Linked DNA regions of Mytilus edulis. The protein of the gene in region 1 binds, or shares a complex with, the protein of each later gene. Links are inferred from orthologs where the notes say so. Each region holds a gene or a part of one and is shown on either strand. Other genes may lie near its edges. The genes, in order: tectonic-like complex member MKS1, transmembrane protein 237-like, B9 domain-containing protein 2-like and transmembrane protein 17-like.

Region 1 (7,889 bases):
CATGAAGTCTCTAGATCAATGTTGTCTAAAGCATTGTTGTGTGTACATGTTGGTGGTTTCTTTGAAAGGGGTCAACTGTCAATGTCACATTCTACAATGTACATCATATGGATAATTTCATGCAAGACAGTCAGTTTTATTGTCAAAGTTAACCAAAGTACCCAGAAAAAAACACAGAACTGAGACAGGAAACTGACAAATTAACCATATAAAATGTATGACGTGAAAATTGAACTTAATTGTGGGACTGCCCATTGAACAGAGGCCTGATGTCACATCTTGAAGTTGTGGTCACAGTTTGGTAAAATTACCATAAGTTAAATGGCTCTACCACTACGGCTCCTTGTAGAAATGGACAAAGATTTAAAACTTTGATTGTTTGCTTTGGTTTTATAAACATCACTTTCTACACCATATGGGTAATTTCATGGCAGTTAGTTTTAGTGGCGTACTAAACCGTAGTACTTGAAGGAAAACGCCAACCTACAGGAGGAAACTGACTAACCTTATCACATATGACATGAAAATCAAACCTTAATTTTGCAACTGCCCAACTAGGGCTCAACCAATACCTAGAGGCTAGTAATCATACATGTAAGGTGTGACGAACTACCATACAAACACGCCTACTGCCCCTGATAAGTTTTGAGGATAAAGGATCTGTACCAAATTAGGATAGCAAAATATTAAAAATTTGGAAGGTTGGCACAAATAGACTTGGTGTTTATACTAATATTATCCAAGTGCAAGGTTTTTCAGGGCTAAGTTTAAAACGTATGATAAATTCAAAATGGAAATATGCAGCAGGACAGACAATTTTTGCAGATAAATAAATTATGGGTTGTTATGCTTGTTTGATTAACAGAAATCTGGACATGCATTACATGCATACAGATAAATTAATGAGCCCTTAGAATTGTGGAAAAGGAGGGGATTTTATTCATCACTAGTACACTAGATACATTTATACATATGTTTCTGTCAGTATCTTTTATGTTTTAAGAATTATCTTATTCATGTTAAGAAGAAAGGCAAGAAAAGGGGGAAGTACTTCAATTGACACAAGATGCTAGTCTTTAAAATATGTATGTTTTGTACCAGGCTAGCATCTACTGGTACAAAACTACTATAAACCTGTAAATCTGGGACCATTTTGGTCTTTGAGCTTTGGTGCTTACAGCCATAATTATCTTGAATGCATCCTGAGACTACTATATATATAGCTATTAACACTATGTGTTATAGTAGTCTCAGATGCATCATAGTGGTTCTGACTATAGTAGATACTTTGTTCTCTGGTTCAAGGGAAAATTTGTCAATGATAAATTTCAAATATTTAATAAGTTTAACAAATGTAAGAGCCACACATATTTGTTCTGTGATGTTCCGGTGAAAAACTTCTATCTCATGAAGCGACAAAGTCAAGCAGAAATCATCTGTTTCTGCTTAATCAAAGATAAAATTTGAGTCCGCTACAAGGTCTCTCAGAAGGTTTCTTTCAAAGAATAGCTGAAAAATTGATTTTTGATAAAATCCATCTAATGCATTGCAGCATAGGGAGATGCTTTCCCCTGCCGGCCTCTTTGACATTACTTTTGGCAGACTTTTTCTATTCCATGTCATTTAAATGTTTGCTCCCAATACAGTGTAAGACAAGCGCTTTTAAGATCGTGATTTGAAATAAGTAAAGCCGGCACAATTTCGATTTTTTTTAAATAAAAAAAAAAATAATTCTGAAACGCAAATAAAGTTATTTGGGCGGCAAGTTTTTCAGTGGGTCGGGCGGCAATGCCAAACAAATGAAATTTTATTTTAGGCCTGATTTATGTATCCAACTTATTGAACAGTTTACAAAAAAAGAGAAAATCAGAGGATAAATCAATTTTCTGTCAACGCTTGAGAAATAATTGTATGATTTAAATACGCGTAACAGTCTTTAGAGAGAATAGGGGGGTCATTTGTTTACAAATGCACGTAGTTATGCAAAATAAATCAATCAAGATTTTTAACAAACCAGATTATTATATAAATAAATCTCCTTTAAAAGTAAATGAATTTTAAGCAAAAGGTAATGAAAATAAAAACTAAAACATAAAAAAAATGAAATTTCTTTGAGATTTTTTTTTCTTTCAGAGTTTCTTTAATTTCATACATAAAAAATGGTCATTTGAAAGATGAAATTAGGTGCCAGGAGATTTTGAGAATGCAGGATTTTTCTCTATTTATGCCAGAGCGTCTGGGGGCCTCCCAGACTCCCTGCTGTAACTTGTAAGGCACCAAGCTTACAGCTTGGTGGGCGTCCGGCTTCGCCGAACGCATGTTACAGCAGCCTATAATTTTCATTGAGCCTTCTACTTCAATTTCAATGGAAAGCCCTGGTATTGTAATCGCCAAGTATACTATAGGAGATTAAAACGAGAGAAAAATACACTACCTGTCATATAGATAAAATTTCTTGTTTACATTGAACATATAAAATTCCAAAAAATTTGACTGACATGAGATACATGTACATTTCAGTAATTCAGTTACTTTCAAGCAGGAATGATGCTTGGAATTTACTTACAAGAAATGTTTATCATCATTATTAATCTTCTGATAATGGGTATCATAATGTATTTCTTAAGGTTTGCAGACCCCATACCCTTTCACAGGGCTGCCTCATATAACAGTACCTTATGCATGTTATTTGATGTTAAACAGTTAAATTAAAAGAAATTGTAAATCACAATAAATTTTAAGGGAATATACTTGGTTCAAGTTGGAAATAATCTTAGTTTTTCATGAATTCAAAATTTGTCATTTTTGACGTTATTTTGACATCAGATCTTTTAGCAGAACGTAATTTTTTAGTTTCATTTGAGCATTGTGTTTTTCTGATACAATTGCAAAATTATTTACTTGAATTTGAGATTCTTAACAGGGTCTTTTGATCTATAATAAGCAGCTCCAAAATCAGGTTCGTACAAGTCCGCCATGACCGTAAACTATTTGCGATGTTGTATAGTTTCTTAATAAAAGAATGAAAGTTCCCCTGTTATCAAACGCTTTATTGATTTGTTTACTATATTATGTAAATTTTAAACAAGTCTGGTATTGTTATGAAATTCCGGTTTATACAAGAGACGACGATTCGGGGCGACAGTATGTCAAAATCGTACCTTAATAATAATAATAATAATAATAATAATAAATTCTTTATTTAAAGAGGGTAACTCAATTAGAAAAATTCTAATTTTCATTGAGGCCCTCAAACAAAATACATGCATACAGTTAACATTGATACATTAAATTACAATATATATTACTAGTATATACAACAATTCAATCACTAAAATATACAAAGAGTAATAAATGACAATATTTGATATAGTTTTGTTAGAGAAAAACAAATTATTTGACTTGCATATAATTTTCAAGAAAATGATTATAACTATGTTTCTTGAATAATTCCACATTAGGACATTTTTTTATTTCGAGTGGTAAATTATTCCATACTTTGGTTGCAGAGTAATGAAAAGATTTTTTATAAAAATTTGTATTTGGCCTTGGAACAAAAAGATCATTATTAGAGACAGATCGTAGGTTGTGGCGTTGCACATCATCAATATTTAGAATTGCTAAGTAATCAGGTGTTAGCCCATTTACAATTTTATACATTAAAATTGATTGTTGGTATTTTATTCTTTTGGTAAAAGATAGCCATTTTAAAGAAGAAAACATGAATTTAGATGGAATAGAAATATCGCATTCCAGTATAATTCTTGCTACTCTTTTTTGAAGTTTTATGATTCTATCTGAATCTTTGTGTAAAATGATAAATTTCCCCAAACTGAACTACAATAGTCTATATATGGTAGAATATATGCATTATAAAATAGTTGCCTTGTGTGTATTGGCAAATATACTTTAATTTTATATAAAAGTGATACTTTAGAAGAGATTATTTTACATACACGATCAACATGATCTTCCCAGCTTAAATTTTCATCAATGTCAATTCCAAGTAATTTGAAAGAATGGACATTCTCAATACATGTTTCGTTGACGGTAATGCATAATTCTGATAGTTGTTTAAGTTTTGGTTTTGAACCCAATTTCATACACTTAGTTTTTTGTGCATTGATTTTCATACTGTTATTGTTACACCAAGATTGTATAGCATTTAAATCATTTTGCAATATGCTGTTTATTTTTTCAATGTTTTTATCATGAAAATGCAATGTTGAATCATCAGCATATAAATCCATATTGGATTGTTTAACATGAAGTGGTAAATCATTTATATATATTAAAAATAACAGCGGACCTAAAATAGAACCTTGAGGCACTCCATACTTTACAAACGATTTATCAGATTTAATGTTAGCGTATTGGACTTCTTGTTGTCTGTCAGACAAATATGATTTTATCCAATCTATTATATGTTTTCCGATATGATAAAATTTTAACTTTTCTAAAAGTATGGCATGGTTAATAAGGTCAAAAGCCTTACTGAAATCTAAAAACACTGTACCAACTATTTCTCCATTATCTAAATATTTTAACCATTCGTCAATTAGTTTAGTTAGCGCTGTTTGGCAGGAATGACCTTGTCTGAAACCTGACTGGGCGATATGTAACAATTTATTATTGTTTAGGAATTCATATAACTGTGTACATACATGTCTTTCGAAAATTTTAGATATGGTATTCAAAATAGAAATTGGACGATAGTTTGAGGGAATATCTCTTGGTCCTCCTTTATGTATAGCAGTTACTCTTGCAAGTTTTAATTTTTGCGGAAAACGATTTGAAGTTATACTTTTGTTTATTAAAAAAGTTAATGATGGGGATATTATTTATGCACTTAGCTTTAAAAATTTGGGACCAATTCCATCTAAACCTGCGGATTTATTAATATTAAGATGTTTTAGTTGAGAACACACCTCTCCAACGGAAATGAGTTTTAAATGAAAATTTTCAGTTTTCTTTAATTTTTCACTAGTAAAATTTTGTAGCATAGAAAAATCCATATCTGAAGTATTATTTCCAATAAGTTTTTCAGCTACGGATGAAAAATGAACATTAAGAGTATTTACAATATCTTGGTTGTTATAAACCGTTTGATTTTCATACTGCATTTTAGGTGGGAAAATATTATCTTCTTTTGGATTTAACTCTTTAATATGATTCCAAAGTTCTTTACTATTTTTGGAACTAGTTATGGCGTTTTGGTAATATTCCTTTTTTGCATTAAATATTAACGACGTTGTTTTATTACGCCACTTTTTAAAGTTTACCCAATCTTTTTTTGAATGATACATATTCCTATATTGAATGGAATTTTTAATTTCTTCATTAAACCATTTGGCTTGTTTAAATGTTTTTACTCTTTTAGTTTTCATTGGTGCATGTTTGTTAATAACTTGATTAAAAAGTTCATACCATTTGTCGACAGCAATATCAATATCATCTTCCATTTCAACAATATCAAAAGGGGTTTGATGTAAGTCTGTACAAAAGGCATCTTCATTAAATTTTTTGAAACACCTATACTTTATTTCGATATGACTTTCTTTTTTTATCTTTATATTGATTTTTCTATTTAAGCATACAGGATAGTGGTCACTTAAAGCATATGACGGAACATGACAATGGACAATATTTTCAGGATTAGTAGTGTAAATATGATCAATTAGAGTTTCAGATTTGTCACAAATACGTGTTGCAGTGCAAATTTGTTGTTGAAGATTAAAATTGTTTATGAAATTGATCCATTTTTTATTCTCAATTTTTATCAAGTCAATATTAAAGTCCCCCATTAAAATTATCTCTTTGTTTTCTGAAAGAACTGCATTAAATTCTTCCTCAAAAAGATCTATCCAGGACTGAGGGGAATTTGGTGGTCTATAAATAGTACAAATAAAGAAAGGTTTAGATTTTGGAAATTCTACCTCTAACCATAAAGTTTCTAATGTATTAATTGATAAATCAGATCTATTTTTAACTGCAATAGAATCTTTGACGTAAACCAATAGGCCACCACCATCCTTACACTGGCGATCTTTTCTGAAAATTTTGTATCCCGGCACTTTACATTGTTCATTGTTAATGTCAGGTTTTAAGAATGTTTCAACTAATCCAAATACATCTAAATATTTGTTGTTTATAGTAATCATATTTTTTAACTCGTCAAATTTAGATAGAATATGTCGAACATTAAGGCATACAGCATTGAAACCTTTACATTTTAGATTAAGACAGTTTTTTTGATAATGTTTGTTTCTATTATAATTAGGTTTTGAGCTGAGGCTATTAGCACATATACCATTTTTTGATTTATGACAATTTTCTCTGAACTTTTGTTTTCAAAATTTTTAGCTACAGACATACATTTTTGAGTACATATACATTTTGATGTATTACAATTTGGACATAAATTGAGAAGTATATCGAAATTGTTATGAAGTAGTAATGATTTACTATGATTTGATAATTTGTCTACAAATTGAAATACATCAGATTTATCCTAAAGTGTGTGACAGTCTTTACAATGATGACCATAAAAGCCACAATTAAAGCAGATACCATTGAATGTATGTCCCATTTAATTCAATAACAACAATTTCAATATTCAGAATAAGAGTGGAAGTTCATGCGCTCTCGGCGAAGCTATTTATAAACGGTGTTCGGATTGTTTCTTGAATATGTAATATTTCATCGCATGTTGTATAATTCATTCTTTTTCGTGATTTATACCTTCCAATATCGTATCCTAGCTTTATTAACTCGTTCTTTTATTTACTTGAACAATAATGCACTATAATTGTTATATCAAATAAATTTTTGACCAAAAAAAAAATGTCCCATTTAATCCAATATCGTATCCTAGCTTTATTAACTCGTTCTTTTATTTACTTGAACAATAATGCACTATAATTGTTATATCAAATAAATTTTTGACCAAAAAAAAAAATGTCCCATTTAATTCAATAACAACAATTTCAATATTCAGAATAAGAGTGGAAGTTCATGCGCTCTCGGCGAAGCTATTTATAAACGGTGTTCGGATTGTTTCTTAAATATGTAATATTTCATCGCATGTTGTATAATTCATTCTTTTTCGTGTATATACCTTCCAATATCGTATCCTAGCTTTATTAACTCGTTCTTTTATTTACTTGAACAATAATGCACTATAATTGTTATATCAAATAAATTTTTGACAAAAAAAAAAAAGTGAAGTGGAATTTGATGGGTAATTTGATGCCACCCTAGTAATTCGCCGTTTCAGAATCTAATGCATCCTGGGTAATATTTTCAAAAGCGTACACCAAAGCGTTTTGATTGGTTTAAAACGTTATAAACAATGGAAATTCAACCAATGACGTAACGTTATTTTCAATTTGGGGTACGAACAATGAAATTACCCATGATGCTTTAGATTCTGAAACGGCCAATTGTTTCAATTCGGAAATAATGTTAAAGGACACAATGCGGTTGACAATTAATCTTCAGAAGTAATTGTTTAGAAAAAATTGCTTTTGATTGTATTCAGTTTTGTGAGGACATTTGTACTTCAATTAAAAAAAAATAGCTCGTCAAGTTTTAGAAAAAAGTAAAATCACAAAAATACTGAACTTAGAGGAAGATCAATTTGGAAAGTCCATAATCACATGGCAAAATCAAATAACAAAACGCATCAAAAACGAATGGACAAAAACTGTCATATTCCTGACTTGGTACAGGCATTTTCAAATGTAGAAAATGGTGGATAAAACCTGGTTCTATAGCGCTAACCCTCTCACTTTAATGACAGTCTCATCAATTTCCGATATTTTTACATTGATGCGTTAAATAAACAGACACAATAAATACAATAGTCAAAATATGGGTACAAGCCATTT
Region 2 (7,797 bases), on another chromosome or scaffold:
GACAAGTTGTATATATATATAGAATGATAGACTGTTTTAAGTCAGACCTGTATAACAGATTTAAATGAAGTGAATGAGAAAAATAACACCTGCCTTTTAGCAGGTTTATATGTACATTTTTTTTTACTTACAATTAGTTTCTATAAATAGATTATCTAATGGCTGACTTTTGAGTACAATAGATTCTGTAGAGTAGGGATGAGGTATAACATCTTCGTCTTTCTTGCCGTCTGGTGTTACAATATCTTCTTGTATGGTTGACAAGTCTGCAGCAAATGCTGCATCCATAAACTCATCTCCAACTCTAGGTGAGGCTTTCTTCACCTTTTTCTTCACTTTTTTTTTTGGTGTTGTCTTTTTATCATCTTTAGATATTAGGCTTGTTTTACTACCACCAACTTCCTGGAAATAAATCAATTATTATCATAAGTACAAATGAACCTGTTATTACTATTTCAGTTTGAAAGTTTCTTCACTTAAGAATTAAGTTCAAATTAATTATCATAACAGTAATGTAATCTTGAAAATTATTATTTGCTGCTTCTTCGATAATGTAGCTTTTACATGTACATGTAGGAGTAAGAGCAAAAATGGGTCAGTTCAAAGTCAGAAATATGTGTTGGGTACCTGGTAAGGTGATATATAGTCTTGCAGACTATTACCTTGTAAGCTACAAGTAGCATGTTAAAAATATTGCTTTAAAGCCTGTCAGAGTACAAGGTATGGTCTATCTTCATATCACTTTATCATATTCTCATCATGAATTATGAATATATGCATATAAATTCGTTACTGGACATTAAACAGCCATCCATACTGAAATCAATATACAAGTGAATCCCAATTTTTTATTTAATGGTATTTTTTCAGCATTTTTATTATTATTATACTAGCGCATTAACTATGTTGTTTGAGGCTGCCGTGTAGTAATATGAACCATTTCTCCAAAATTTGTTTATATCTGATAACTTAGTAACAGTTTATAAAATTATATTGAGACTCAGAGTTCGTTCTGTTTCTTGTGAAACTACAATGTACTGCCTTATCCAGTACTGGGGTTGCCATGTAAATGAGATCGAATCCAGGTACATTCGCGCCCATTCTGGTTCCACTCCTTTAATTTTCGCTCCCTATATGTTCGCTCCCAAAGTTCGTTCCCACCCTTTTTATTTGTTTTGTCAATGATTTTTATAGTAAAAATAAGAGGTTTTGTGTTTAATAATTTTGTAATAGAGTTCTATATAAATCTATATCATGTTTTGGTTAGTGAACATATCACTATTTCAAAAATAAAGTTAGATTCTGTCTTTTTATGGTTTGTTAAATAAATATTTATCATGTTTTGGTTGTGTATTGCTATAAGTATTTTTTTTCAATGACATTGAAATGTTTCAAAATAAAGTACCATTCTGACAAAGTTTTGTATTGAATAAATCTTAATCATATTTTGGTTATTTACACCAAAGTATAATAATTAAAACCACCATCACGATTTTCTGACACAAGACAATAATACCAAATTTAGCTGTGTATAAATACCAATTATCATCAAATTAATAAAAAAAATAAAACCATGTACAAAAACTGTAATAATTCCTCAATTTTTATTTAGGAAAATATAATTTATTTGCTTAATACAATTACATATAAATAAATATCTAATAATTGATCTGGAATTTGAATAAAAATTGGGCCTGAATGTGTACTATGGTGTAGGGTGCTAACAGACCCAGGGGGCAAACATGTGAGGTGCAAACTTGCAGGGTGTGAAAGTGTATTGGATGAAATGACATCCAGAACTATGCAAGTTGTTTGAATACTGCCAATTACACGGTATCGGGACCGTTCGCCCTAATGACATGTTCGCCCTAGGGTCGTTCCCTCTGAGTTCGTTCGCCCATAGTGTCTGTTCGTCCTACTATAAAAATATCAATATGAATTGAAGTTGAATAAATTTATTGAGATATTTCTATGGTACATGTACAATGTATATATATCATGTATATTCTTGATATTTATGGAAACATTGCAGAGTTTATTGCTTGTTTAGGATCATTAATTGTTTAAAGAAAAAATAATTCGGATCACTGGTTATTGTGATACTTGTCTTTTGATGGATTAATAATAAAAACAAACGTGTTATTTTGATAAAATATTCAGCTTGAAATTAATAAAAACAATTGATTACGGCAATATAAATATTCTGTCAATTTTTCAACAAACTTTAACATATTTTGTTCAAATACTTAAATAATGCAACTAGACAACAAATAGAAAAAAATAAAAATTGGGTGAATGGACCCTTGACGAACAGGTATCAGGGCGAACAGATACTAGGGCGAACATGAATCAGGGTGAACGGACCCAGATTCCAATTACACCACTACTTCAGTCATGTTTTTTTTTTATATAAACGAAGGAAAATATAATTGATTTCAGAAACAGATGATTAGAAATAATGGAAAAATTAATTTATCCTAAAGTATTCCCTAAAAGTTACTCATCTTATAAACCTATTCCTTATTCAGATGTTATTTAATGGTTATCCTAGGCCTTTTCTGGTCAAGTCCAAACACATCATTTTTTTAAATGTCTTTACATGTATCTTGTATATTTCGTATTAGAATGAAAGCAGATCTTTATGACAATAACCTCTTGACTAGCAGCACTTCTTGCTGATGTAGGTTGTCCATCTTCAGCCTGTTCTGGTGGTTTGCGTTTCTTCCTTTTCCTTGGAGTTGGTTTGTCTCCATCTTCTGTTGCAACAGGTGCTTTCTTCTTTTTAGGAGTAGTGGCTGTTGATCCGGTTTCGCCATTTTCTGTTGCTTCGGTTGGTTTCTTTTTCTTTTTTCTTACTGGTCTTTTCTGGACATCAGTTTCTTCTGATGCCTGTGTAACTGGTGGCAATTTCTTTTTCTTCGGAGGATTTTCATTGTCGGCCATTTTTGTATCCAATAAACAAAACAACTTCCGGTAACTTTCGGATAATTCTCTTCGTTTCGGAATCCACCAGCAGTCTTCCTAAAAAGTTGCAGGAAAATGTCTAAAAAGCATTCAGTTTTGTTTATTTGCCTTGGTAATCTAACTCCTTCTAACTTAGACAATTTGTTAGCCCGTAATAACTTATTTCCATCTTTTTAAAGGGTAAAAAGCTTTCACGATTTAATGAAACATCCAATCACCGTAAGGACAAATCGCCCCACACCAAATCGCCCCACTTTTTCACTAACTCGCCCCACTTTTAAAAAAATCGCCTCAAACTGAAAAGGGTTAAATTGCATTATTTTTTCTCCTGCAAACTCGCCCCACTTAATGAAAAGGTCAAATCTAGATGAATATATAATTTGCAGGTCTGCCAACTTGCCCCACTCAAAAACTATGAAGTGGCATGACTCAATTCATCAGGACTTTTCTATTTTCCATAAGTGGGGCAAGTTTGCAAGACTCAATTCATCAAGATTTTTCTATTTTAACAAGTGGTGCTAGTTAATTAGCATTCACGTCACAGAAATTCTGATACTCACTTCTTAATTTTTTTTTCAACAAAAAGAAAAGAACCACCAAAAAGATATAAGAAGATGTGGTATGACTGTCAATGAGACAACTCAGTCTCCATCCAAGACACCATTTGTAAAAGAAAAACCATTGTAGGTCAAAGTTAAGCGTCTTCAACATGAAAGTAGTAATGCCCTTTATCAACAGGCATCAAACAGTCATTTTCGGCTACCATAAGCGTCAAATTGGTTAAAAAAATTTTGATGATTTGTCAAAGATCTTTATTGTGATTCGTCAGCGGTCTCAAATAATTATTGTTACCGTCATTTTTGGAAAAAAATTAACGTGATTCGTCTAAATTAGTTACTATTTTTATCGACTCAAAGAAAGTACATTTAATCGTCATACACCAAAAATTTTCTCTAACGCCATTTGGCAAGAATAAGTACGGTTATTTGTCATGAAGGTACCCTCATTACTACCCTAACACCGAACAGTAAGCTAATAAAGGGCCCCCAAAATGACTAGTGTAAAACCATTCAGACGGGAGAAAAATGTTATCTAAGGTTTTCATAGGTATTGATTTTATTTACTTAAGTGGGAGAGGAAAATAGATATATATACAATGGGAATGCACCTTTTGCATCAAGTGGGGCGAGTTGGCATTACTAAATTCATCAGTATTTATCTATTTTTCACAAGTGGGGCGAGGTGGCATGCCTTATTTCAGAGGCTTTTTTTACCCATTTCATAAAAGGGAGCAAGTTATCCAACCTATTTTCAATGGGAGTTTACCCTTTTTCATAGGTGGGGCAAGTTGCACAGGCACTTGTCTCAGAATTTAATTTTCCTATATACCTTAATATATATATAGTGGTTTTTTTCTTAGACAAGTGCCTGTGGCAATTTGGTAAACAAAAGTGCGATTGTTCAAATAGTGGGGCGATTAGGTGTGGGGCAATTGCCAGTGGGGCGATTTTTCATGGATTCCAATCACCATAGATTACCAGTTTCATAATAAACTGCCAGGACCCTCATTCGGTGACCACATATATTTTGATTCTAGTTTTTTCACATCCAAAATGAAAGCTAAAATTAATTGCTTGCTACCCTATATAAAGAAAAGAAAATTTTTACAGTGATGAAAGAAAATCTGCTATGTTGTAAATTTAGTGGGAAATTTTTTACAAAGCAATCATAAACTAAAACTGAAATGATAAGATTAGAAAAAATTGTTTTGATTCAGCATAAGTAAAATATACATTACAAGCTCTAACCTGGAGCTTTTGACCAATTATATTTATAAAAGTGCAGTTTTATGTACAATAAAATAATATTGAAAGGGGTGTTCTTAATATTACACTTTTCCAAAATTTTGTTGCAATCTTAAATTTTGATTTATAATACAAAGAACTCTCTGAATGTAATTTTTCAATAAAAAAAGAACATGCAGCACCATGTACAAAAATGTATGTACTTAGCAGATTTATTCACACCCAATTGTTAAAAACATTTTTTACAACACATTTTTATAATCATGAAAATGAACATGGTGATCTGTAAGATGAAAACACATATGATTGCATGCAACTGTTGTCTGTCGCCTATTGAAAAGCTAAAATACTTCCTTTAAAACTAGTATCCAACTAGTTGGTCATGTTGATGAACAAATAAATGTTGGACAAAACAACAATTGATTCTCTTATGAAATAAAGTATCATACATGTAAAATAAATACCACAAAAAATAATTATTATGAATTGACGGTTTCATTCTCTAAAATCAATTGATGCTTGGGATTGTAATCTTAATATTTAATGAAAAGCCAAGTGAATATATTTGAAATTAAATCACTTAGAACTGTTTTCCTGATATATAAAAAGATATAAAAAATAATGGTAATGACTAATATAATTTGAGAATATCTTAGAAATTTTTTTTTTGGTTTATATAACCGCCAACCTCATCATGCATATTGAAAACAATTTATTATTTAGATAGTATCATTAGCTCAATCCTTTGTGGAACCATACAACATTGCTGTACTTTTAAATACAAAATTTATATATACATTTTGTTTAATATGCTGTCTGACTCTGATTCAAAGATTTTAAAACAATAAAAAAAGATGTTTATATTGAAAGCATTAATCATGTTAATTTTAAGGAATTAATTCCTTTTAACAGTAAAGTTTGACTGAACTGTAACAGACTGAAAAAGTAGATTTGTGGAAATATCAATGATAAAGAAACTAATAGAAAAAAAATTAAGCATATTTCATATAGGAGGGGGGATCAAACCTTTATTGGGACTCCAGGATCAGCTGTTTTTAACCTTGGAATTTCATGATTGATCCTTTCAGGATCTTGTAATTCCTTTTTCAAATTTTGGGATGTCAGGATTTAAATTTCTTTAAATTCAGGACCTCTGGAATTTATGTTTTTAAGCTCAGGATTTCGGGACCAGGACCCCTCCAACCCCCTCATATAGAGACTGAAGGTTACATTGACTATATTAATTGAATGTGTGATTGTTTTGATTTCTTGCTGTTTCATTGAATCTAATTTGTTGTAAGCTTCACATCCCTTTTTAAACATACTGGTAATCTTTTCATTTTAACATAATTTTATCATTTCAGTGTAAAAATGACTCATGCAAATGAATATAAATAAAAGGAGATATGGGTTATACACAGGGGTCGAATTTAAGCTTTTTTGTGTACTGGCCAGCCGGACCAGTGGACTAAAAACTCTACTGGTCCGGCTCCAAATCTACTGGTCTTTTTTTCACATGTTGTACAGTTCATTAAATTCCGATCTACTATATAATTCAACCATTCGCGATCTTTTTCCCATGATTTTTATACGACCGCAAATTTTGAAAAAATTTTCGTCGTATATTGCTATCACGTTGGCGTCTGCGTCGTCGTCGTCGTCGTCGTCGTCGTCGTCGTCGTCGTCGTCGTCGTCGTCGTCGTCGTCGTCGTCGTCCGGCGTCCGAATACTTTTAGTTTTCGCACTCTAACTTTAGTAAAAGTGAATGGAAATCTATGAAATTTTAACACAAGGTTTATGACCACAAAAGGAAGGTTGGTATTGATTTTGGGAGTTTTGGTCCCAACATTTTAGGAATTAGGGGCCAAAAAGGGCCCAAATAAGCATTTTCTTGGTTTTCGCACTATAACTTTAGTTTAAGTTAATAGAAATCTATGAAATTTTGACACAAGGTTTATGACCACAAAAGAATGGTTGGGATTGATTTTGGGAGTTTTGGTCTCAACAGTTTAGGAATTAGGGGCCAAAAAAGGGCCCAAATAAGCATTATTCTTGGTTTTCGCACAATAACATTAGTTTAAGTAAATAGAAATCAATGAAATTTAAACACAATGTTAATGACTACAAAAGGAAGGTTGGTATTGATTTTGGAAGTTTAGGTCCCAACAGTTTAGGAATTAGGGGCCAAAAAGGGACCCAAATAAGCATTTTTCTTGGTTTTCGCACCATAACGTTAGTATAAGTAAATAGAAATCTATGAAATTTAAACACAAGGTTTATGACCATAAAAGAAAGGTTGGGTTTGATTTTGGGAGTTTTGGTCCCAACATAATAAGGGGCCCAAAGGGTCCAAAATTAAACTTTTGTTTGATTTCATCAAAATTGAATAATTGGGGTTCTTTGATATGCTGAATCTAACTGTCATGACTGTGTATGTAGATTCTTAACTTTTGGTCCCGTTTTCAAATTGGTCTACATTAAGGTCCAAAGGGTCCAAAATTAAACTTAGTTTGATTTTGACAAAAAATGAATCAGTTAGGTTCTTTGATATGCTGAATCTAAAAATGTACTTAGATTCTTGATTATTGGCCCAGTTTTCAAGTTGGTCCAAATCGGGGTCCAAAATTAAACTTTGTTTGATTTCATCAAAAATTGAATAAATGGGGTTCTTTGATATTCCAAATCTAACTGTGTATGTAGATTCTTCATTTTTGGTCCTGTTTTCAAATTGGTCTACACTAAAGTCCAAAGGGTCCAAAATTAAACTTAGTCTGATTTTAACAAAAATTGAAATCTTGAAGTTCTTTGATATGCTGAATCCAAAAATGTACTTAGATTTTTTATTATGGGCCCAGTTTTCAAGTTGGTCCAAATCAGGATCTAAAATTATTATATTAAGTATTGTGTAATAGCAAGTCTTTTCAATTGCACAGTATTGCGCAATGGCAAGAAATATCTAATTGCACAATATTGTGAAATATCAAATTTTTTTTTAATTAGAGTTATCTTTCTTTGTCCAGAATAGTAA
Region 3 (6,930 bases), on another chromosome or scaffold:
AATCAAAATCTGATATTTTGATAAGAACTGAAGTGTAATATTTAATATTGTTTTAATTGAACAAATTACCTTGTAAACCTTTGGTTGTAAAGTGAACATCTATTGGATGAGCCCAGTATGCTTCATCATAATTTTGTGGGTTATCTACTTGTGTTTGTCCTTCTCTTAGACCAGACAAAGCTTTCCATGCTCCTCCTGATAATACAAAATATATCATAAATATGAATTGATATATGAGGTACATGTAGTTTTACATAAAAAAATATCTTATAGTATAAAAACAAATAACTAACACTGGACTTTGACTTTGTGGTCTTCATTGGTGAATGTAAGTTAACACTTTAATCATGCACATTGTTTATGGATATACAATGTAGGTCAATAACAATGAAGAAAACTATTTACTGAATTTGAATAATGTGTATCCTGTGTTATCTGACATACTGGAGGACCAGAAAAAATGTTGGATTCAGCAGGGTGTCGGAATACTCTGGCAGGTTTTTTTTTTGCAAGGTTAAGCAAATTGGGACCATGAAAATGTGTCGGTTAAAGCAGGATGTTGGAACACTCAGGTGTCAGAAAAGTCAGGTTACACTGCATAATCAATCATAACACACTGAAAAAGGGCTAATATACAGACAAAACAAATTCTCTAATCAGATTTTCTTCAAACAGATTATTTTCTTCAAAATTTTGCTGAAGACTACAAGTAAGTTTAATTTTGAATGTTTTTTATGTTTGCTTGCTATTTCACAGTCTTTATAATTCTAAAGAACTAGTCAAAGTTTATTCAAAATAAGTTTTAAAAAAATGTATGTATATGTTGTTTAATAAGTCTATTTCAACACACCTGTATGTATACCCCATTTACAAAACAAACTATGATCTGGAAATCCATCAGCACCAAGAATCTGTCCTATGATATGTACTTCTGCCATGATTCTGTAAAAATAAATCAATTACTCTATTCAAGATTCAATTATGTCGGAGGAAAAAAATAAAATTACACAATTTAAAACTCACTTATTTCACATATATATATGTAATTCAATTGAATTCTCTCAAATACATTTCCAAAAGTACATTATATGTTCATGTTCCCCATTTCCATTCTTAATTTTATGTTGTACATTTTTATGTATAAAATGTATCAAAAGTCAAATTAAAGGGACTCCAAAATTACTAGTCATGCTAGTGTACACAATTCAAAGAGGGAAACCAACGATCTAATTTACATATATATACAAACGGGAAAATACATATGAACAGAACCACACCAACAAACGATACATGTTACTACTGAACAATAGACCCAGAATCAATGCGGACAGGTGCATAAACATGCAGTGGGTATGGATAGTTTCGTTCCGCTGGCATACAATATAATTGCAGTTGAAGGCAACTCTTCTCCTTCAGAAGTTCTGCATTCTCTATTTTGACAACGAACATTTTTTGATGGGCCGGGAATGTAGGTGAGGGGGAAGAAAACTAATGTACAGGTATTTTCCCCTTGTTATATATTTATATCAGAGCACTCCCACTTTGGATATATGGGTTTAATGTTTAATCAAATTTTTACAAAAACATTTACATAGTGTGGTGGGGTGCTTATAGGTTTAAAATCATTAAATACAGGTAAGCAGGTAAGACTGTGATTTTAAATTAAGGGTTAATATTTTTTTATAATATTTACCAAAAAACAGACAGGATTATATTTCCGGATGCGGGAAGCAGGAATATAAATCTTAAAATTTATTTCTGTTTCGAATAAAATAGGTGCGGCCAGGTCTGTCAAATAAGGAATTAAATTGATGTGGCCTCAAAGTCATTATTGCAGTACTAGTCTTCTTCTTTAAGGAAATTTGTAAATGGATTCATGTGATAGCTTTATGAATTATGTAGTATTGAATAACACAGAAAGTTCTCTCTTTGGTATTTACATATGTATTATAAACAATGTTTGCAACATATGCATTTTTCAATTATAACTCTAGAATCCGGATCCGTTCGCGCCCATTCACGTTTGCACCCACTCATGTTCGCCCCTTTCACTTTCCCACCCTACATGCTCGCACCCAAAGTCTGTTCGCACCCTACATGTTCACGCCCAATTTTAATTGGTTTTTTTTGTAATCATGCAAGTTTTGGTAAGAGTATTCTTCTTGTCATTGTCTTAAAATAAAGTGAGACAGCATTTTATTTTTGTGTTGAATAAATCTTAATCATGTTTTGGATAGTGTATTGTTAAAAAAAATATAATCCTTTCTATAAATAAAGTGGGATTCTGTCAACGTTTTATTTTGTGTTGAATAACTCTTAATCATGTTTTGGTTACTGTATTCCTATAACTTTGTTTCATTGACTTGTTTCAAAACAACTAAGTGAGATTTTGACTACGTTTTTTTTTTGTGTGTTGAATAAATTTTATCTTGTTTTGGTTATAATAGTGTATTGCTTTATTTTATTGTTTAATTGTTTCAGATCAAAGTGACCAAGCTATCAAAAACAATTATCTTTTGTGGTTTTTTTTTGGGCCCAAACGTGTAGAGTGCGAACGGACCTTGGGTGCAAACCTGCGAGGAGCAAACGTGTAGGGTGCGAAAGTGTATTGGGCGTTAACGGACCTGATACCATAACTCTAACCATCTGGTGTCTCTTTCCTTTTGTGATAAATATTTCAAACAGAAAGAAAGCAATTAAATGAATCTTGTAGTTAAATTGGCAAACCATTTTATTTGACATGCCCAACCCGTCTTTTCGAACATAAAAATCAAAAGTAATTAAAACCCGCTAGGAAAATTCAAGTTCGAACATGGCCAAGGCACTTTAAACTCTCTTTTTGCTTACCACGCCGTAATTTAAGTAGATAAAATGCTGAATTCAGTAATTTTGTTATTAAATGGTTAAAACTTTTCTGATTTAGGCTTCTCTGATATCTTATATATCAGGAAATTTCATTTTCTTTAGAATAAATTGTTAATGTTCATTCCTGTCCACCATTTTTGTTGACATTAACAATTTGATATTTTCGTATTTTGCATAAATCCTATTTATCAAAATAAATTGATCTTGGATGAATAATTAGTTGCTATTTAAAATGAAACTCTTTGTTAAACGCTTTTAAAAATAAAATATGAAATAATAACATCCGAAAATAATTAGTAAACAAATGCTGATTTGGCACATGTGTGAGTTCTATCAAGATAATGACAACTTATCATATTTGTCAGTGTAAAATTCATAGCTTATAAATAATCAACATCCTGCATCTCCCTCATAAACAATCATCAATCTCTCATATAAATTTACACGTGTGCTCTTGCATTTTACGTCTAATAACCAATTCCTGTTCTGGAGAAGGAATAAAACACATTGTCCAATGCTTTAAGGTTCATCATAACCTTTTGGCTAAAATGGCCTTATTTACACCCCAAATTTTACTCTGAGTACAGACTAACCTATACACCTGCAACAGTTTTAAGGGATGGCAGGAACTAGATATATAAATTTTAAATGCATTTTATGTTTCAGAAAATTATAAACTTTTCTAGATTTTGCTATCCATTTTTTTTCGTTCCTGCAGAAGGTGCAAAAATTAACTAAGTAGTGAAAACGATTGAGAAGCTCCCCTCATATAATGAATGTTGTGAGTAGTATTGATTTAAATGGACAATAGACACCTGTAAACAATAGGTGATTTAACAGGTTTAAACTGTGTCACTGAATGGACCGTATCAAATGAAACTCGGGTGTTTGTTTATTTTGCTATCTTCTGCAGACTGGAAAAAAATGAACATCAAAATCCAGGTAAGTTTTTAATTTTCTGAAACGTAGACTTCATATAACTTTTATATATCTAGTTCCTGCCATGCCTTAAAACTTTCCTGGATGTACCAGTTTGTCTGTACTCATAGTAATTTTGGAGGTGTAAACACGGCCATATTTTTCAATTCCTTATGATGAACCTTAAATACATGTATAAACAATAACGATAATAATTGATAAATTCTTTATTTTTAGAAATCTGTCTGGCATGACCCTGGAATCTGTTCCGCTTGAACGTTTGACATCATACAACAATCACTTTTCCATCAATCTAATTAAAAACCGATCTCTCATCGCTCCCGTTTTCTGATATGTCGCATGGGAGATCTAACGAAACCGGCTTTGAGGTCACATGTGAGTGAACTAAAAGTTATAAATTTATAATGATATGCAAATGAGTTGATGACCTATTAGTAAGCCAATCAAAAAAGTTTATGAATTATTTTGACTGACGATTTCGTCGTAAATAAAATGAGTTACATCCCTTTACCTTTCATTAAACTTTCAAGATCGTGGAAGACTCAATTTCATTGGTCGAAAAAGACACACCTACGAGGTCACTCACATGTGACCTCAAAGCAGGTTTCGTTAGATCTCCCACGCGACATCAGAAACAGGAGCAATAAGAGATCGGTTTTAATTAGATTGCTTTTCCATATGAGCATCACTGATGAATCTTATGTTGACGAAACGCTTGTCTGCTGTACTAAATTATAATCCTGGTACCTTTGATAACTATTTACACCACTCATGGGTCGATGCCACTGCTGGTGGACATTTCGTCCCGGAAGGTATCACCAGCCCAGTAGTCAACACTTCGGTGTCAACATGAATATCAATGATGTGGTCATTTTTATGAATTTCCTGTTTACAAAACTTTGAATTTTTCGAAAAAAACTAAGGATTTTCTTATCCCAGGCATAGATTACGTACTTAGCCATATATTTGGCACAACTTTTTGGAATTTTGAATCTTCAATGCTCTTCAACTTTGTACTTGTTTGGCTTTATAAATATTTTGATATGAGCGTCACTGATGAGTCTTATGTAGACGAAACACGTGTCTGGCGTACTAAATTATAATTCTGCTAGTGGTACCTTTGATAACTATTATGACTTTGTTTAAGACCCCAAACTAATCAATGGTAACAACAGGTGTCATAATCTGTTGTTACAGGTAATCTGTTTATTGGATGGGTCTTTAATGATTACTATATTAATTCATTCAAATAGAATCGATAGAAGGAATTTGCATATACATGTAACAACACTATGTACTGTACTTTCCTAGTGTAAGAATAATTTGTACCTCAGCCATTGTCAGCTCAGGCCAACAGAATGTATACAAAACTTTCCCAAAAAATCGGATTGTGTCTGTTGCTAAAGTAGACCTTTATAAAACTGAATCACCCTATACTAGTATATAAGAATCAATTGGATATAATTTGTAGAATATTCCGTATTGATTTAACCTTCCATTAATGGCCTGTTATTAATGAATGATAATTGTATATATTTAAGATTGTTTTTTGTGCATAAATTAATATTGTCATTTCTTCAACGTTGTACTTTATTTGGCCTTTTTAACATATTTTGATTCCAGCTTCACTGATGAGTCTTTTTGTAGACGAAAATTGTGTGTCTGGCATATATATAAAATTTGAATCCTTATATCTATGATGAGTTTATTCTATCTAGAACCTCCCAAAAAAGGGACAAACCTTGTTTATACTGTCCTTTGCTTTCTGATGTTGTCCCTTTCTATTACCAGGAGGTAAAAATAACCTATTTGTAATATGGTATGTAATTTAAAAAAATTCATGGTAAATTTATTTTTTTTAGGAAAAAAAATGTAAATTAAATTCCACACTTTGATATATATATTGGAATCATTTTGATCTTATGTCTGCAAAGGGAGGTCATCATGTATCTGATACAGACTCGGATATTACTGTTGGACCAGAAGATAGTGACGTGACCACTGAATCACCACACAAATCACCAGTAAATCTTCCGTCATTAAGTAAAAGAAGAAGTGAAGTTCATGAGATTTCAGAGTCTGAAGAGGAAAGTGAAGAATATTTCATTTTGAAAGGGACTTCTAAAGGGAAAGGAAAATCTTCATTATTTAACTCATTGAAATCCACATCTGAACAAAACGAATCTAAATCACTTGTTAAACAAAGTAATAAATCATCAGCAACTTTGACTAAGCTTAAGTCACAAGAAAAGACAACAAAATCATCATCAGAATGTTTTTCAAAGTCACTAGACAACAGAACAAAGCCATCATCAGAAACTTTGACTAAGTCAATCGAGAAGAGATCAAAGCCATCATCAGAAACTTTGACTAAGTCAATAGACAAGAAGACAAAGTTGTCACCAGAAACTTTGACTAAGTCACATGACAAGAGAACAAAACCATCATCAGAAAGTGTGACTAAGTCCTCTGAGAAAAAGACTAAGTCATTTACAGAAATAGAGAACTGGTTAGATAAGATTGATTCCAGTCCAGAGGCTGAAAAGGTTGATATTAAAAAAAGATTTGACAGTCCAGTGGAGAAAGGCAAACATTCTGATTATAAACCATCACCATCTAGTGGCTTGAAGAGAAAACAGACAGTTTTACTTGAAGAAGAAAAGAAGACAGTTAGTAGGAGGAAACCTCCTTGTCAGTATGGGTCAAAATGTTACAGGAAAAATCCATCTCATCTTCAAGAATTCAGCCATCCAGGTAATTAAATAGCAAAGTTAAAAAAAGAGGATTTGCATCAATTGCCTGTCCTATCAGGTAGTAGTAAAATTTAACAAAAGAACATTTGTTATCATTGTACAAAAACAACCTGCTTGTTTCTTGTTCATTGTTTAGTGGTAAAAGAGCAAGGTCAGTTTGTCAGTTATATGCTGAAAGGAATAAGTCAGATTATTTGAATAATAGGTCTATGATATAGAATGGAAATACTTTTCATGATTTGATATTGCATGTTGAGCATTTTGTTTCAGGGCAGTTTTCAAAGCCACTTGTCAACTACTGATCACATTCTTGTTCGACTATAAAAATGTCTGTAAGAAATCAAATATGCTTTCTCTAAGCATGTTTAACCAT
Region 4 (7,096 bases), about 15 Mb from region 1:
GCGAAATCGCGGGGAAATAGAGCGTATGTAAACTGTAAAAAAAATTATAACTTGAGAATATCAGGAGAGGTATCAAAAGTCAAAGGTACTTGGGGACTGGGCACATTTTTTTTTGCCCTCCCCCTATTTCCAAATACCGATTTTTATTCTTTCTCTTTTTCTGTATACTATGAACAAAAATATATCTACTATAGTTACTATATAAAACAGTCACTGATATATTAAAAGTCACCTCAGTAAACTATTGGAATTTAAAGTAAATTATAGCAAACTTATACAATTTATTCATAGTATATATGTATCGTGGCAGATCCAGAAATTTTAAAAAGTGGGGGCCAACTGACTGCCTAAGAGGGGGCCTGCTCCAGTCACCCTTCAGTGACTCCCTATATAAGCAAACAGTTTTTTTCTCAAAAAGGGGGGTGGGACCCCTGCCCTCCTAGACCCCTCCTCCTAAATCCGCCTCTGTGTGTGTAGTATACAGAAATATTTCAGTGACCGCTTTATCTATAGTATATGTATGATCATAGTATACAGAAAAACACAAAAAAATAGTGTTCTGTCTCAAGTACTAATTCAAATTATGTTTAATTTCAAAACAGGCCTAAAGGGCAGCGGAAGTCTTTTATATTTCTCAAAAAGTCAGTACGATGACGGAAACAATATATGGATGCATTTATTTTCGTTTTCCTCCCAATATAACCCAAACTGAAATACTTTAAGCAAGGATGATAAATGCTAGAACACACCCGCGAAATCGCGGGCATCCAAGGGTGGTTGAAAGTATGTAAAGTGTTGTAGGTTGAATTTTTGTAAAAAAAATAATGACTGGAGAATATTTCAGGAAAGCTGATAAAAAGTTATAGGTACTTGGGGACAGGACAATTGTTTTTCAACCCCTGCTCCTTTTATCCCAAAATTTCCATTTTTTTGTTTTCTATTTATTTCAATATGAACATACGTTTAGTATGTTATGAACATACATTACTATAAATAAAGTGTGTTTGCTTTTAACTATCAATTCTCAGTTAACTAATCAATCCACGGCGGTCATTGATATATTATATAGACCCTCTTTATTTAATATACTTAGTGACCCGATGAATTTTTGTAAGAGACTTTATGACTGAAGAATTTCAGAAAAGGTATGAAATGATTTAGATACTTTGGGACATGACAATTGTTTTTCTAGCCCGGCTCCTAATTTTTTCCTCAGAATTTCCTATAATTGCTCTTTTATTGATTTCAATAATGTAAGCGTTTATCTGTATATTATGAACATACATTACTATAAATAAAGTGTATTTGCTTTTTACTATCAACTCTCAATTTACTAATCGATCCACAGCGGTCATTGACATATTATATAGAACATCTTTATTTAATAAACTCAGTGACCGCAGTGGATAGTTAACTTGAAAATAAATGCAAATACACGTTATTTAAGTCTTTGGTACATTTATGTACAAAGTACAGAAAAAACGCAAACCGGATGTCTAGTCTGACTTAAAATTTCGTCCAATGACCGGACAATATCCGGATGCCTTTTTTCTTGTTTTTCTCCCAAAATAACTCAATCTGAATAATCATATAAATGGATGACAAATGCAACTATGCACTGTACCTATAAGACACAGAGGCGTGTTGATTTATTTATTGTAGAAGGAAGAGAAGCGACACACAAAATGAGGTCTTCTCGTTTAATAGTTTAGATATATATATATGTGCTGATTTACTTGCAACACTTTTTTTGCCTACTGCATCCTCTGATTTGTTTGGTATTGTTTCTGCATATTACTTGCTTCATGTCCAGTGGCAAATATTTCAAACATGTTCAAATACAGTAACATGTGCCATAACTTTGTAAATTATGATTTATTTTGACATAATTTTAATAACAGTGCATACATGTAAATAATTTCCAAAATAATAACCCAATGTTTGATTGACTAGGTTCAGGTGTTAATGAACTTAATGAAGCCATCTTAGAGGGGATCTCATTGGGGGGTTGGGATCCTGGATCCCGCTAACTGTTTTGTCAGATTCCAGTATCCCGCTTACACTATGTATGTAAGCAATTCTCATTTTTTTGTCATTTCCTGGGTCCTGCTAGACCTCATTTCCTGCTTTCAAGTGTCACGCTTACAAAAAATCGGCAATCCTGTGTCCCCAATGAGACCCCTCTTAGAGAAGCAAAATGTAATGAATTTAATATTCTAATTATTGTAGAGTTTGGTTGCAGCTAACAACTAGCGATAAGGTTCATGATGCTGTTAATCCTGAAAGTAAGTTTGATTGTCAGTATGTTAATACAATGAAACAGCCCTACATATTGAACAAATTGCCACCTTGAGGGTAAATATATATCAAAGGTAGTAATGGGGTACCCTACATGAAAATTGATGATATAAAACTATGCTATAACTTTTATGAGAAGCATTTACCTAAGTTGATCCTAATGATTGTACCAGAACGAGATTGGACAAATGATGATAAAAGAAGTAGAACAGTAGAAAGGTTCCTTTGTTGTGAAACGTAGCAAATATTGGGAGGTGTGATGATAAATGCCGAAATAGCATTCTTACTACATTGTATCATGTCATGATCATCTGTTTTGATAATGGTTTAATTGAATAAATTGTTTAGTGTATTTGATAAAAATCTGTAGGAAAGAAGTTCGAAAACAGAAAGGACTCAGGAGTAGAACCAGTAGTTAAGTATAGATTGTGAGGTAACCTGCTGCTGAAATCAATCTGAGTGTTGTGTTTCAACATGATTTTTACATGAAACTACTGTACCAGCTAAACCTTCACAGAATAACAGGATTTTAACTAAGTTTATTAACCTGTCTTTTTCAGTTGGTATTGTTGTGGATCCTGTGCATCTTTTGATATGGGAAACAACACGTCAGTGAATGATGTGACCGTTTTTCTTAGAGATCTCCCCAAAAGTGGAGAATCCATGTTTACCTTTTAGCGGGGTATGTCACATGATGTAAACATCCGGTTTGCATTTCAATATTTTCGTAATTTTATTCAAAAACATTTGCTTTTTTAGTTTACAGTATTTGATATTTTCATACTGAAAAATGATTTCAGAAATAAAATTCAAAACTTTGGAAGTAAAGTTTAATTTTTACAAAACTGTGAGATTTTTCTAATGACCAATCAAAATTTCGCACCAAAGTATGTTAATACAATGAAACAGCCCTACATATTGAACAAATTGCCACCTTGAGGGTAAATATATATCAAAGGTAGTAATGGGGTACCCTACATGAAAATTGATGATATAAAACTATGCTATAACTTTTATGAGAAGCATTTACCTAAGTTGATCCTAATGATTGTACCAGAACGAGATTGGACAAATGATGATAAAAGAAGTATTTGATAAAAATCTGTAGGAAAGAAGTTCGAAAACAGAAAGGACTCAGGAGTAGAACCAGTAGTTAAGTATAGATTGTGAGGTAACCTGCTGCTGAAATCAATCTGAGTGTTGTGTTTCAACATGATTTTTACATGAAACTACTGTACCAGCTAAACCTTCACAGAATAACAGGATTTTAACTAAGTTTATTAACCTGTCTTTTTCAGTTGGTATTGTTGTGGATCCTGTGCATCTTTTGATATGGGAAACAACACGTCAGTGAATGATGTGACCGTTTTTCTTAGAGATCTCCCCAAAAGTGGAGAATCCATGTTTACCTTTTAGCGGGGTATGTCACATGATGTAAACATCCGGTTTGGATTTCAATATTTTCGTAATTTTATTCAAAAACATTTGCTTTTTTAGTTTACAGTATTTGATATTTTCATACTGAAAAATGATTTCAGAAATAAAATTCAAAACTTTGGAAGTAAAGTTTAATTTTTACAAAACTGTGAGATTTTTCTAATGACCAATCAAAATTTCGCACCAAATTTCAAACAAGCGGAAACCTTCACACGAAAACGTAAACACATGAAACAGGTCGATAAATAATGTCATAGTCTGCGGTAAAAAAAAAACCAATCACAAAATAATCTGGTAAAATTGATTAATGGTGATAATGAATTATAAGTGATATAAGCCTATATGTTACGAAAGAGTGATGGGAAAAGCCTGTCATGCACCCCCTTTAATATTTTTAATTTTCATATAACTATGTTAAACAAGTGTGTACTCATACCAATAATCTTACATCTTGTGGTCTCAACTCACTTGCCTTCTTGGTATCTTATTTCTTAAAATATCCCAGTAACACATCTTATCACTCCTTGCTGACCTAAGAAATATCTGTCCCACTCGATCTATACACCTTATCGCTATTTGTCTGCCATTACTGGATATCACACAGGTTCCCGTAAAATTTTGACGTCACAATACAAAATATCTGACGCCACAATGGAAAAGTGATTGTTATCATGGTTATATGCGTCAAAAGTTCAAGCGGCCGGGTCAGGCGGGATTAGTGATAAGGTGTATTGACGTCATACAACAATCACTTTTCCATTGTGGCGTAAGATATTTTGTATTATGATGTCAAATTTTACGTGAACCTGTATAATGTCCGGTTATCGTAATGGCAGACAAAGGACAAGGTACACTAAGGGCCGTATTTGGCCCCCTTTTTTGTCAATTTTTTTTCATCATGAAATAAACGAAATTATAATCGAAAATAATTTGCATATATCTGTTCTTTAGAAGCTCATGCGGATTTTAATTTTTGGTAAAGCAGAAATCTGATTTTGAGTTGCTTAAAGTTACCTAATTACACCAAAAGGTAGCAAAACGTTGATTTTTGGACTGAAATTCTTCGTTTTTAAAGGCCTCCGCCAACGTGAGCCACAGAAAAGAATGGTGATGAGGATAGCATTCAAACAGAATTTTCAGATAATGAAGAGAAACTTTTGGCTCACGTTGGCGGAGGCCTTCAAATATGTATAAAACTATCTCCTAAAAAAACAACAACTTCGCCGTAATAGTAAAATCGGAGCGAAATCGGAGAAAGGGCTGAAAAACTCCGCATTCAGCTGTGATTACCAGACACCACCAACTACATCAAGAATATTTCCAAAGGTGAGGTTTTTAGTTTTGAGATTTGGCAATCATTCTTCAAATTGTATTTTTTTTCTTTTTATCAATCTAGATTTTGTTTATCCAATTTGGATCAACAAACAAATGGTGAAAACGTATCATCGGCATTTGACACACACAATAAACAGCCATTTGCATGTGTATCTGAGACCGGTTGAGTCATGATATATATTAAAGCTACAAAGAGTTTGAATGATTAAATAATTTTTCGTTTCAAGTAAAAAATATACTCAGAATATGTGAAAATTGGGAACAAAATATCGGTCCGGTTGCGGACGACTTTGAGAAATTGACTACCGCCGAAAACAACATTTTTTGCTTATCCTTAACCGGAGATTTTTCTAATGAGTTTACATGAAAATTTAACAATTTTTGCAAGTAAAATAATTTCCAATTTCCGTATGAATTCGACTACAAATAGAATTAACTGAGAACATAACAAATAAAAAAAAAACAATAGTGATAAGTATGTCGTTTTACACAATATTTGTCATGATGACAACGTAGTCTAATGGGAACACCGTTGCCTTTTGTCCGGGCGTCCTACGTTCGAATCTCATTACAACCATTACTATTTTTTTTTCATTTTTTTTTACTTGTATCATTTTATCATTTTATTTTCTTTCAAAAAAGAAAGAAAAGCAGAAAAATGCTCGAGTTCATGATATAATAGCCAGCATTTTAGTCTGATTTCTAAACATAAAGTTTTAGTCACTTCAAATGGTATGCAACAGATTTTTATTCTAAGTTTGAGCCTCATTCAATTTTTTTTGCCCTTGGAATCATTTTTTCAATATGGGACGACATCAAAAGATCAATGAAGTATAGCAAACTTATATCAAATAACTTGGGGAATGATAAAATGGCTGCTATTTTTGTTTCTTTGACTTCGATTTAACATGTATCCCTATTGGTCAATCATTTTTCCCAAATTAAGTTAAGGGAGTTGGGGAGGGGGGGTGGGGGAATCAGTGGAAAAACTATGTGAATTTTTATCCTACATTGAACTTTTGATTTCGTCCCTGAGAGAAGTTGAATAGAAGTAATTTGAAGAAATAATATTACAGCCGATTTCATTGAGTGTGTAGCCAAAGGTAACAGTGGCGGATCCAGGGGCTAGGGTGGGGGGGCGGGGGGTTTGAATCCCCTTTTTTGGACGATCAATGCATTTGAAAAGAGGATAGTACACCTGACCTAATAATGACTGAATGGTTCAGCTAACAAGCAAGCTTACCAAAGATATTACCTTTGCCTACACACTCAACGAAATCGGCTATATATAAAGGGAGTTCATATATAAATTGTGGATATAACATAGTTGTTTCAGACATACACGAAATATTTTAAGGTTTAACTTCTATCAACAGATAACAGTAACATGTTTTTAAAGATAGATTTTCCGGCCCTTGGTTTTTAAAGTAAAAATGAAAAAATAAATATATATACATATATCATAACATAATTAAACGTTACACAAATGCTCAGACGACCTGATGTGCAAGGTTTCATATAATATATATTTTTCTGTCTTATTACAGATATAGAATTGACATCCTGATTATGTAAACCATGGACACCACATAACATGCATAATGAAATTCATGGACGTTCGTATGCCTGTTTTCGAAAATGGTATAGTTATTTTGTTAAACTTGTATAATATATAGATATAGGAAGATGAGGTATGAGTGCGAATGAGACAACTCTCCATCCAAGTAACAATTTATAAAAGTAAACCATTATAGATCAAGGTACGGACTGCGACACGGACATTGGCTCACAGCGAACAGCAAGCTATAAAGGACCCCAAAAATTACTATTAGACTTAATACTTAATCACTTTTGTTTGAAAAAAAAATTCTCTCATATTTCAATTTGGCTCTTATAAATTCGATATCAGCAGCATGACTGTTGTAGTCTTCGGTCACTTTTTTATCAATTGTATTATAATTCAGAATGTGAAATACATGTCTGTAGCCGATGCCTCCTTACTATATATTTTACAAGATAAGATAAT

The links.
Region 2: tectonic-like complex member MKS1 (region 1) and transmembrane protein 237-like share a complex: the UniProt entries of both Homo sapiens proteins name them as parts of the tectonic-like complex. The link is inferred for Mytilus edulis from reciprocal best matches to the Homo sapiens genes MKS1 and TMEM237.
Region 3: tectonic-like complex member MKS1 (region 1) and B9 domain-containing protein 2-like share a complex: the UniProt entries of both Homo sapiens proteins name them as parts of the tectonic-like complex. The link is inferred for Mytilus edulis from reciprocal best matches to the Homo sapiens genes MKS1 and B9D2.
Region 4: tectonic-like complex member MKS1 (region 1) and transmembrane protein 17-like share a complex: the UniProt entries of both Homo sapiens proteins name them as parts of the tectonic-like complex. The link is inferred for Mytilus edulis from reciprocal best matches to the Homo sapiens genes MKS1 and TMEM17.

What each region holds. Positions count from the first base shown.
Region 1 is NC_092349.1:45,660,751-45,668,639, reverse strand, and holds the start of tectonic-like complex member MKS1, read right to left. Parts: upstream 3,022-7,889; 5' UTR 2,979-3,021; coding exon 2,902-2,978; intron 1-2,901. UniProt on the Homo sapiens protein: Component of the tectonic-like complex, a complex localized at the transition zone of primary cilia and acting as a barrier that prevents diffusion of transmembrane proteins between the cilia and plasma membranes.
Region 2 is NC_092350.1:20,110,268-20,118,064, reverse strand, and holds the start of transmembrane protein 237-like, read right to left. Parts: upstream 3,017-7,797; 5' UTR 2,944-3,016; coding exon 2,653-2,943; intron 403-2,652; coding exon 132-402; intron 1-131. Other genes in the region: low molecular weight phosphotyrosine protein phosphatase-like, read left to right, coding at 3,040-3,076. UniProt on the Homo sapiens protein: Component of the transition zone in primary cilia. Required for ciliogenesis.
Region 3 is NC_092346.1:49,637,429-49,644,358, forward strand, and holds the start of B9 domain-containing protein 2-like, read right to left. Parts: upstream 3,022-6,930; 5' UTR 2,848-3,021; intron 943-2,847; 5' UTR 939-942; coding exon 851-938; intron 196-850; coding exon 70-195; intron 1-69. Other genes in the region: tyrosyl-DNA phosphodiesterase 1-like, read left to right, coding at 5,727-6,558. UniProt on the Homo sapiens protein: Component of the tectonic-like complex, a complex localized at the transition zone of primary cilia and acting as a barrier that prevents diffusion of transmembrane proteins between the cilia and plasma membranes.
Region 4 is NC_092349.1:60,256,407-60,263,502, forward strand, and holds the start of transmembrane protein 17-like, read right to left. Parts: upstream 3,020-7,096; 5' UTR 2,964-3,019; coding exon 2,846-2,963; intron 1-2,845. Other genes in the region: uncharacterized protein, read left to right, coding at 3,898-3,972. UniProt on the Homo sapiens protein: Transmembrane component of the tectonic-like complex, a complex localized at the transition zone of primary cilia and acting as a barrier that prevents diffusion of transmembrane proteins between the cilia and plasma membranes.